Linked DNA regions of Macaca fascicularis. The protein of the gene in region 3 purifies or fractionates together with the protein of the main gene of each other region. This does not show direct contact. Links are inferred from orthologs where the notes say so. Each region holds a gene or a part of one and is shown on either strand. Other genes may lie near its edges.

The links.
Region 1: the proteins of BOD1L1 (region 3) and CXXC1 purify together in Homo sapiens (affinity purification with mass spectrometry; 5 studies listed by BioGRID and IntAct, counting the BioPlex papers as one, with this or other methods). This does not show direct contact. The link is inferred for Macaca fascicularis from reciprocal best matches to the Homo sapiens genes BOD1L1 and CXXC1.
Region 2: the proteins of BOD1L1 (region 3) and SETD1A purify together in Homo sapiens (affinity purification with mass spectrometry; 3 studies listed by BioGRID and IntAct, with this or other methods). This does not show direct contact. The link is inferred for Macaca fascicularis from reciprocal best matches to the Homo sapiens genes BOD1L1 and SETD1A.

What each region holds. Positions count from the first base shown.
Region 1 is NC_088392.1:39,454,792-39,459,102, reverse strand, and holds the start of CXXC1 (CXXC-type zinc finger protein 1), read right to left. Parts: upstream 2,805-4,311; 5' UTR 2,696-2,804; coding exon of another isoform or gene 2,693-2,695; intron 2,614-2,692; 5' UTR 2,531-2,613; coding exon 2,528-2,530; intron 1,992-2,527; coding exon 1,873-1,991; intron 1,773-1,872; coding exon 1,672-1,772; intron 1,387-1,671; coding exon 1,151-1,386; intron 1,058-1,150; coding exon 878-1,057; intron 483-877; coding exon 456-482; intron 379-455; coding exon 133-378; intron 1-132. UniProt on the Homo sapiens protein: Transcriptional activator that exhibits a unique DNA binding specificity for CpG unmethylated motifs with a preference for CpGG.
Region 2 is NC_088394.1:29,162,193-29,164,504, reverse strand, and holds the end of SETD1A (histone-lysine N-methyltransferase SETD1A), read right to left. Parts: intron 1,655-2,312; coding exon 1,517-1,654; intron 1,439-1,516; coding exon 1,265-1,438; 3' UTR 625-1,264; downstream 1-624. UniProt on the Homo sapiens protein: Histone methyltransferase that catalyzes methyl group transfer from S-adenosyl-L-methionine to the epsilon-amino group of 'Lys-4' of histone H3 (H3K4) via a non-processive mechanism.
Region 3 is NC_088379.1:12,737,449-12,741,098, forward strand, and holds part of BOD1L1 (biorientation of chromosomes in cell division protein 1-like 1), read right to left. Parts: intron 1,292-3,650; coding exon 1,174-1,291; 3' UTR 1-1,173. UniProt on the Homo sapiens protein: Component of the fork protection machinery required to protect stalled/damaged replication forks from uncontrolled DNA2-dependent resection.

The DNA.
Region 1 (4,311 bases), on a different chromosome or scaffold from region 3:
CCCCGCTCATGACAACCCCACCACCTACTCATGTCCCATATCAGCCTTCCATACCCTCTGTCTCCTCATTATGGATACTCTCTGCTTCTGTAACCTCCACCCTTCCACCAGGGGATGCTCCTATCTGCTCACCAGGCCGTGGTCATCAAAGGCCCCTGCACAGAAGTCCTGATACAGGTCAGGATCCAGAGGTAGGTCCTCATCTGAGAGTGGCTCAGGCGTGGCTGTAGCCTCAGGAGGCTCCTTGACTGCTGATGATGCCACTGCTCCCTCATCTTCACGGATGCGCCCTAACTTCTGTGATGGCTGTGGCTGCTGTTGGGTGGGCAGTGGCCGGCGGGGCCTTGGCAGGGACTCTGAGGGCGTCACTGGTGAGAGCTGCGGGGCAGAATCTCAGGACTGGCCCTGACCGCCCTGCCCGCATGCCCCACCCCACCCTGGGGAGCTGGACTCACCGAGGAAGGGAAGTACTTGTACGATTCCTGTGCCGGCAGGAGGAAGGCCCAGGTCAGCCCCAGGTGGATGGAGGGCGGCCTTGCCCTAGCCCCACCCACCTGGCCTGGCCTTACCTCCCCAGACACACCTCCCCACTACCCCTTACTACCAGGAATGCTCGCCCCTGTCTTATCTGTACTGACGTGCATGACCACCTGGAAACACCTGACCCCACTCTGTCCACCCAGGGTTGGTGGGGGTTCTGCCAGCCCAGCATACCAGCTCATGCCCCATTCATCTGGACATGACAGGTCCCTTCCCACCTGTCTAGATACAGTCAGGCCCAATCCCACCTGGCTTAGCCATGCCTAGACTACACTAACCATGCATGGACCCACCAGCTCTCCCATACCTGACCCTACCCAGCTCTGTCCATGCTCACCCGGGCCCGCAGCTGGCACTGGCGCAACCGGCACTTCTGCCGGATCTTGTTGGGGCCCCCAAACTTCTTCATGTCCCGACAGAAGTCACAGTGACCACAGTCCTCAGTGCGCCGACATGCCTCACACTCACCACACATGCGGGCTGACCGTTTGATCTGCTGCTGCTGCTGCTGGTGATGCTGGAGGAGGGGGCCCAGAACAGAAATTATGGACCCAGGCAGGGCTGAAACGGAACCACTTTACACATCTACTCACTTTATGCAGCCACTCACCTGGCTGGGTGTGGCCACCAAGGGCTGCGGCGAGGATTTGTGGGGCGAAGCAGAGCCCCGAGCAAGCATGGCCCCAACCCCTGTCCCTGACCCTGCCCGGCGCTGCAGGTCTGGATCGGGGACAGGCCTCTTGCGCCCTCCACCCTCATCCCGGGGCTCACTGCCGTCCCGCTCATTGCCATCCCGCTCCCGTGACTTCTTGTGCCGATAGCGAATCTCTAGTTTGGGGTCTTTCTCTGTGGGGCAGAGAGTAGGGCCAAAGTGAGTGAGCACTGGAGGGCCTGAACGGTCCCAAAACCTCTTTCTTCCTCTTCTCTCCCTTACTATCCCACCCACCTACTCTGCACCCCTGTCCAGGGCAGAGCTGCCTCTTCCCGTGGAATCTTCTACTACCACTCACAATGGAGACCCCATTCCAGCTCACCACAGACGTGTATCACTACTCCCCATGACCCCCCATTATGGCTCCTCCTCCTCCCTTGAAGCCCCACCTGCCTTCCCTGTCCATCCATGGCCCTCACCTCTGCACTCCCGGCAGTACCACTCCCGGATGGCCTTGGCCATCTTCTCAGTGATCCGGATGCAGTCCCCATGGAACCACTCATTGCAGTTGTCACACCCGCTGCGGAGGATGGGGCAGGCGGTGGAGATGTGAGGGGCGCGGCCCATCGGCCTCACCCCACCCTGCTAGTGTCTGCCCCGCCCACCTCTCCCGGGCTCACATCATGAAGCAGTTGATGTCCGGTTTGCGACAGATGCAGTAGATGGGCGCATTCTCTCCATTCTCCGACTTGCTGTCCTCCCCAGCATCTGGAGGTTCTGGGTCTGAACCATCTCCCTCCTGCGGGATACCCCCATTACGGATCCTTAAACAGCCCCCACCGTGGCGGCTTATCCCATTACAGCTCCACCATGGTCAGCAGGGATCCCCACTCTGCCTGCAGATTTCACATCGGGGCCCCCCAAAAACTTCTCCATCACAGTCCCCACTGACCTCCATCCCTTCCCCTGACATCCTATTACTTTGCTCCATACTTCCCATCACGCACCCACCGACACCCGCTCCCTGCGTCCATACTCGCTAATGGGCCATCGCGATCCTCCATCGTGGCGCCTCACAGACCCCGCGTAATTCACTGCGGACTTCCCATCGCGGTTCTCTACGCACCCCTCCCTGTTTACCTCATAGACCCACCTGGCACCCGCACCCACCCCCAGTCGCGGCTGTCCACGGATCCCCGGACACGAACTCCTCGTCACGGCTCACTACAGACCACCCAGTGTGACTCCTCACAATCCCCGATCACGGTTTCCCACGGAACTGCCACCCGGAGTCCCCACTAAACTTCTATTAAGGACTCCCCCACCGTGGCTCACCATAGAACTCCCAGATGGTTCATCATTCTGCCCACAGACTCCCGCCGTTCAGTCCACAGACTCCGGTTACGGCTCACCACAGACCCCTGAGTCGGCCGACAGACCCCACTGTTGCCAACCCCACCAACCTCCACCGCCGAACCCCTCCCTGAACCCGGTACTCACCATATCTCCGCTCCCGGCGCACTCCCTCGCGACCCCCGCCAGCAACCCGCGAACCTGCACAGACCACTCGGCGGCGTCCCAGGCGGTTGCAAAGGCGCCCACAACTACTTCCGCTTCTGGTCACGCCTCCCAGGCAGCGTACTCCTATTGCGCAGGCCCCGTGCGTCGTCTCCGCCGCAAACCAGTAGGTCGCTCGCCTAGAGCCCCCGAAGAACCCTCAGGCGCCGCCATCTTGATTATCGTATCCGTATGGTGGCCGAATCCACACGTTCGCCGGGAACATGGCAGCGCTCAATTGTGGCTTTCCCGAGGGCGTCGCCACCTTGTCAGTAGAGTCCGTACGGCGGCTGCTAGTACGGCCTGGACGTACAGGCAACATGGCTGCACCTACTGCGTGACTTCCTCATAGATGCCGTCATCTTGGAATCTGATTCCGTACGAGGGGCGAATTCGTACGTTCCTTGGCGACACATGGCGGCGACCTATTTGCGGATTCCTCAAGGGCGCCGCCATCTTGGTGGTTGATACCGTATATTGGCCGCTTGTCAGGCAGAGAGGTTCACAGGTAAAGCGGCCGCTCCCGAAACGCTACCTGGATCAAGTTGTATTCATTCCTCCATTCTGTCTCTTTCCCCTTCCACATGTATTGATGGGGTGTCGGCAGGCTGTGTGCCTTGCGGGGCGGAGGAAACCAGTTCCTCTGTCGTCTCCGACTTCACCTGCCACCACTCTTTCCGGCTCTCACTCCTCCCACTTGTCATTCTTCTGCCAGGCCTGGCACGGTTCGGCTTCTATTTATTTTATTTTTATTTAAAAACAATTGTTACACTAATATCAAATTTTATTTTAGTTCTATAAGCTGCACAATAAGCCTAAGCACAGTTTACATTGATTTATTGTTTAGCATTTAGAACATTTTTAAATATTATTCTAAATAAAGTTGCAACGAACGTTCTTAAACATAGATCTGTATGCTCATACCTGATTATCTCTTGTGAAATGTGATATACAAAACGGTGTCACTCTGGTTAACAGCTGTAAAATGGAGCCTGGAAGCCATTCTTTCTAATTTTTATTTATTTATTTACTTATTTTTTGAGACGGAGTTTCGCTTTTGTTGCCCAGGCTGGAGTGCAATGGCGCGATCTCGGCTCACTGCAACCTCCGCCTCCCGGATTCAACCTATTATCCTGCCTCAGCCTTCCGAGTAGCTGGGATTACAGGCTTGCGCTACCACGCCCGGCTAATTTTTTGTATTTTTAGTAAAGACGGGCTTTCACCGTGTTGGCCAGGATGGTCTGGATCTCCCGACTTAAGGTGATTCGCCAGCCTTGGCCCTCCAAAGTGCTGGGATTACAGGCGTGAACCACCGCGCCCGCTCCGCCTGGAAGCCATTCTAAGGACTCCTCGCAAACTTGCAAAAAGGAAAACAAACAAACCAAAACTAAAACACAATAGGAACTTGCCTGGAACCCTTGAATTGGTCAAAACTGCAATGACCACACCGTCCTGGAAACCAGCTATATTTCACCAGCGCTTCATCTCCTGAACAACAACCAATGAACTATGGACTGGTGCTGGCCGCCGCCTCCACCAATAATAATTTCTTTAAAATAACT
Region 2 (2,312 bases), on a different chromosome or scaffold from region 3:
CCAGGGTGCCCAGACTGGCCTGGAGGGGCCCTCTTCTTTCGTCCAGGGCTGGCCAGCCCACACACCGTCCCCTTCCGCTGGCTCCTCCTTCTCCCTCCTGCCCCATTCCAGGAACAGAGACCCGCCCAGCCACAACCCCCACCACTCTTGCCCTAAGGCGCCCCCTGGCGGCCACTCTGTGCTCCACTGGCATCCGGGTCCAGCAGAGAACTTGGGGTGATGAAGCTGGAACTTGCTGAGTGGGCTAAGGGGTCCGGGGCTCTGGGTGGAGCCAGCGGGTGACCTCATCCCACAGTGTGACCTCAGGCCTTCCCTCCCGCTGGGCTTCCCAGGAGGCCAGAGGCCCAGCTGCAGCTGTGGTTCTGGGAAGGGGAGGCCTGACCTTGGCACTGCCCTGGCGGGCACTGGTGGGGGATTCCTGGTGTGGGTGCGGCTGCGGCTGCCACGGCCTGTCTAGGGGTCCAAAGCAGTCTCGGGGCCTCCACAGGTCTGGGTTGTTGCCTGAAGGCCCCTTTACCAGCCTCACACTTCAGGTACTCACTTTTCCCTCTCTTCATCTTGCCCAATCCTCTGTGCCCTCCACCCCCAACCCCTTGCTCCTGCCCAAATACACCAACCAAGCACTTTTGTACAATAAAGTTTAATCACAATTATAAAAATGTGGCGTCAGGTTTGCGCTATTAACATATGTACAGTCCAGCCCAGCAGAAGGGGCCCACCCCGCCATCCTGGCCTGGCTGAGCCGGGGCGTGACACCAGGGTGGGAGGGTGACCCTCAGGGTCTGGCAGGAACAGATGAGGCAGGGTTCCAGGCACGGAGTCCCCAGGACTGGGGGTGCAGAGCCCCCCCAGGGGGGGAACATGGCCACTGCCCCAGAGACCCCTAAACTGGGGAGGGGTACACGCAGGGCATAAGGGGAAGTCCCCATTAACACAAAGCGAGAGGACTGTGCAGCCCCTAGGACAGAATCTGTACAGGCCGGCACCCCAGGTTTCCACAGGAAACAGCTGCTGGCTGCTACAAAACATTTACAGCTTCTTCTCCGCAAAGAAAAACAATCAGGGGGTGGTGGGCAGGGGCGACAGGAGAGGCAGAAGCTGCCTCCAGGGACTGAGGCTCCCTCGCTGGGCTTGGGGCCCCCCAACCCCACGCTTGGAGATGGGGGCATGTGGGCCCTGCTGAGCCCACTAAGGCTGGGGGGTGCTGGGAGCTCAGGGCACCAGGGGGAATAAATAGGGGTGTGGGCACCCGTCCTGCCCCACCTCAGTTTAGGGAGCCCCGGCAGCTCTCCGTGCCGCACAGACACGGGATCTTGTTGTCTTCCAGTGGGAACTTGTAGTCGTAGGTGATCTCCTCGTCCACGCCGATAGGCTGCTTGGAGTAGATCACAATCTTCTTCTGGGACTCGATGGTGATGACCTTGGCGTAGCAGTTGGGCTGCGGAGGGAAGGGCATGTGAGCCGTGGCCACCCCCACCGACCCCCGAACTCCTGCCCCGGCCAGCCCCTGACGCACCGTGCAGCAGTGGTTGATGAACCTGGCCAGGTTGCCACACTTGGTGGCATCGATGATGGTGTCATGGTCCACCCGGAACAGGTAGCTGCTGCCAATGCCCTCCTGCACGTAGCGCTTCTCCCGCATGTCGGCCACCATCTGTCAGGGTGAGATGCGATGGTCAGGGAAGAGCCCCCCACTTCCTGCCCGCGAGCACACCTGCCAGCCAGCACCCCAGGTCCATGCCCACCAGGCCTGGAGCTGCAGCTCTGCCTCCGGCTCCCGCTAACCCGGCACTGACTCTCTCGACTCTGCTTCCAGGAGCCCTCCCTCTTTGGGGCAGCATACTAAGCCTCTGGTGGCCATTCTAAGTCACCCGCAGGGGACTCCAGGGAAATCTGCATCGGGAAGGAGAGCCACTGGCTCCTTCGAGCATCTGCCTGATCACAGTGGGGTCCCCGGACTGCTGGGGCAAGTCTGGGGCTGGGGCAGCTCCTGAAATGACAGTGGCCATGTCACCAATGGCACCCTGCTCATCTCTCCTCCCTGGACCTCTCTCCAAAACAGGCACCTGTTGGCTGCCACCGACCAATGCAAATAGCAGGCCGCCCATGTTAGGCCCCGCACCCCTGTGAGGAGCAACCCTTACTTCCCAGAAGACAGTGAGGAGCCTCTGCGTGCCCTCCTCGGGTGACCTCACTCCCTTCCAGAGCCTCAGCCGCCAGCTGTGTGGTGGGGACTCCTCCCAAACTTCCATTTCCAGCCAAAAGCCACCTCAGTGGAGCTGCTGGGCGTCGTCCCCTAGATGTCCCTGGGG
Region 3 (3,650 bases):
AAAAAAAAAACCCATACACACTGAATGTAAATTTTAATTATAAAACAAGAATATGAACAAAACATTTAAAAATAATCTCAATTATTTGGCAACTCATCACATCATTGCAAGAGACAAATTTGATCGTAAGAAGTTTAATCTTATGAAAAACTGAAGTTGGACAGTTTGCTCATATGAGAGTTAAAACATGTTTAAAAAAACACCTGGCAATAAAGCCAGTTTCTATACTGAAACAACTGTGTATAAAACAACATAAAATCCTGAAACTGGATAGACAGGAGGGACCTAATCTTGAATGCATTTCTCTTCACTGAAAAAGACAATATGGAAAGAGTATTGGTAGAAGCTTCAGAACAGCACAGAGCAGGGGAATGAACACCAGCAGAGAGGGTTTCTGCTGCAGGTGACTGACGCAACTTTACCTGAACCAGAACCTGTTTTATGTCAATGGGGCTGGTAGTAAAGTCACAGATGCAAGTATAATCTAAAAACGTTACATTCTTAAAAAACAGAGCCACGACTGTGAACAGAAAAGCAATGGAGAAACTTTCTTTAGCTAAACTACTTTACTTGGATACATGCGAGTTTCTGCCAGATCATATTAAGATAGTTACAGGGCAGGCAGAGTCCTAAAAAATTTTCTACTAATGACTGCATAGCATTTAAAACCCTTTTTTATTTAAAAAAAATAATAATAAAGTAAAATAAACAGATATATAGTAAAGTTCACAGATAAGTTTTCTCTGTAAAATAAATAGTGTTCATTGATTAGCATCATACATAGAGTAAAATACAACCTATTTTTACATGTTTATATACTATACACAGATTACCAGTAGGCAGCCTGGTGTCTGATGGGCTGGAGGGGTTTGCATTCATGATGTGTCACATTGGGAAATCCCAATTTTGAATGTTAAAATATACAACTACTTTGTTTTGAGTTCAGATACAAAGTAAACTTATTGTCCTTTATCTGAAATAAATGTACATAATATCTTCTATGAACAATAGTTTATAAAGCTGTTTAAAACATAACAAGAAAAAGCTTGCACCTAGGGACTTACAGCACATGCATATCTTTTTCCTGGTTAAAGAGAAGCCTATGGCCACCGAGGCATGTCTCTTTCCTCTCCACTGTGTTCCTCCATAAGCCTAGGGCAGCAGTGGTCAGGATTATCGCTTCGCTTTTTTCACAGGGGCTTCCTCCACCCTTTGCTGGCCTCTTGTTCGGGCCCCAGGAGGGCTGACTTCTCTCTTGCGCTTGATAGAAGGGGACAGCTGTGTCTTTGATCTGCATTAAGCAAAGTCAAGGCAATGGTGAGGTTTAAAAGCAGTTGCTTCAAATAACTTGGGAGTTCCTTAAAAAAATGGAAGAGTTTTGAACTTGACAGCTAAGAAAAGAAAAACCCAGTAAAATTTATACACGAAAAGGAGCTATTTCGCGAAGAGCTCGAGCTAACTGGTTCTTTGCTGTCAAACTCACACACAAACACAGGACACTGGAAGAGAAGTGTGAAGCCTGTGCTCTGGTTCCAGCTCTACCACACTCTAGGTGCTGATGGTGCTCAAGTCCACTTCCTTCTCTGGGCCCTAGTTCTTTCATCTATAAAACAAAGACATCAACAGTAGGTCCCACCAATATAGAAACTGTTCTAAGTTCAAACAATTAGCAAGAACACAGCAGGATTTCAACCTAGGTTGGACCAAGTGCAAAATCATACTTCGTAGCACAGGATTACAGAAAATAGCTGTGTTAAAAAAGCCACAAGAATTTCAGAAGAACATTCTAACCAATCTCCCTGTAACCAGCATACCCTGTTGATACAGTCTGTGATTAAAATTATTTGTTGGAAACTCCAATTAATCATGTTACTGTCCAGGAGATGTATGAAGTAGTTCCTCTTGGGTCTCCGATGCTTTCAGGAGAAAATCATCCAGAGCATAGAACACAGAGCCTTTTTTTTTTTTTTTTTTTTTTTTTGAGACAGAGTCTCACTCTGTTGCCCAGGCTGGAGTGCAGTGGCCGGATCTCAGCTCACTGCAAGCTCCGCCTCCCGGGTTTATGCCATTCTCCCACCTCAGCCTCCCGAGTAGCTGGGACTACAGGCGCCTGCCACCTCGCCCGGCTGGTTTTTTGTATTTTTTTAGCAGAGACGGGGTTTCACCGTGTTAGCCAGGATGGTCTAGATCTCCTGACCTTGTGATCCACCCGTCTCGGCCTCCCACACAGAGCCTTTTATAATTCTGCCTTCTACTTGTGCACCATCTGGGACTGTAGTCCTGCACCTTCCACATCACAGAGCAAGATGCCCTATCTTTGGAATCCCCCACAGAGAAATGCGACTTTATTGACATGAAGACTTTAGGTCTTTACCACAGCATTTATCATTGTAATTTATCTGCTGTGTTTCTACAAGTTACAATCAATATTTTGTAACTACAAGTTACAATCAATATTTTAAAACAAGATACTAATAGGACACAACAGAAAATACCACTTGTATCACATCTACTAAATTTGACTCATGAAAATTTTGTTTCAGTTACAGTAGCAGGAATGTGAGCACCAGCTGTATTGCAAAACATTCTGATAGTGGATTGTTGCCAAAAAAGTTTGAAAGTCTTATATACATATATCTCTCCCATTAGACCCAATGATTTTCTAGGGCAGCTGCTGAGATTTATTCATTTTTCTAACTCCAGTGCCTACAGAAATGCCCAAAACATGGCAAGCAGGCAGTAAATGTCCTGTCAATGAATAAAAGGCTTGGAAAACCAAAATTGCAAGAGACGGAGAAACGGGACTCTACTGATATGAAGACACGTCTTTCATTTATTGTTTGACAGCAAAAGTAAATAAACTCAAATTGAGTCAAAAATTGTTGCAGATGATGTGGTTCTGGCATGTGTTGACAATGACTGAAAATGTGTTTGTTGATAATCCATTTCAAACCGTTTCCATGGAAAGCCACCAGCCACTCAAGGAACACCTCTTCAGTAAAGGTGCCGTGCGCAGCATTGTGCTGGGGGCCAAATGGCAGCTAACAGAAGCTCTGAGTCAGGCTGCTTCTCCCCAGCCATGTGAGCTTCGTAGCTTATCCAGGCCCTTCCAGTTCACCCAGAATGTGGTCTGTGACCAGGGGCACTGGTCACTGAGGAGCTTGTTGGAAATGCCAACTCACAGGCCCCACCCTAGACTTACAGACCCTGGATCTGCATTTTACAAAGAGCCTCAAGTGATTCGACTGCATGTTCAATTTTGAGTAGTATGCATGCAAACCTTCCTGAGATTCTGTCCCTCACATATAAAATAGAAGTAACTGTTACAATTCACTCAATGAGAGTTAAATGAGAGCATATTTGTGAAAGTGCCTAGCGCTATAGTTTGCTTTCGTTTCTAGAACGTGGGGAAAACAGCACATACATGCAAGTATGCTGTGAAGATGAAAATGTGGTAAGAGGTCAAAACGGTTTTTGTGTACAGTGAAGAGTCTTTTACTTTGGAATATGATAATGTATAGAAAATATGACAAGTTCCTATCTGAAGAAAGAAAGCTAGAGCTCAGAGGGGTAAATAAAAGGAATATACCAAACCAATGCTATGTGGCATCTCAAGTGCCCAGTACTGACCAGAAGCGCAGCAAGAAGAA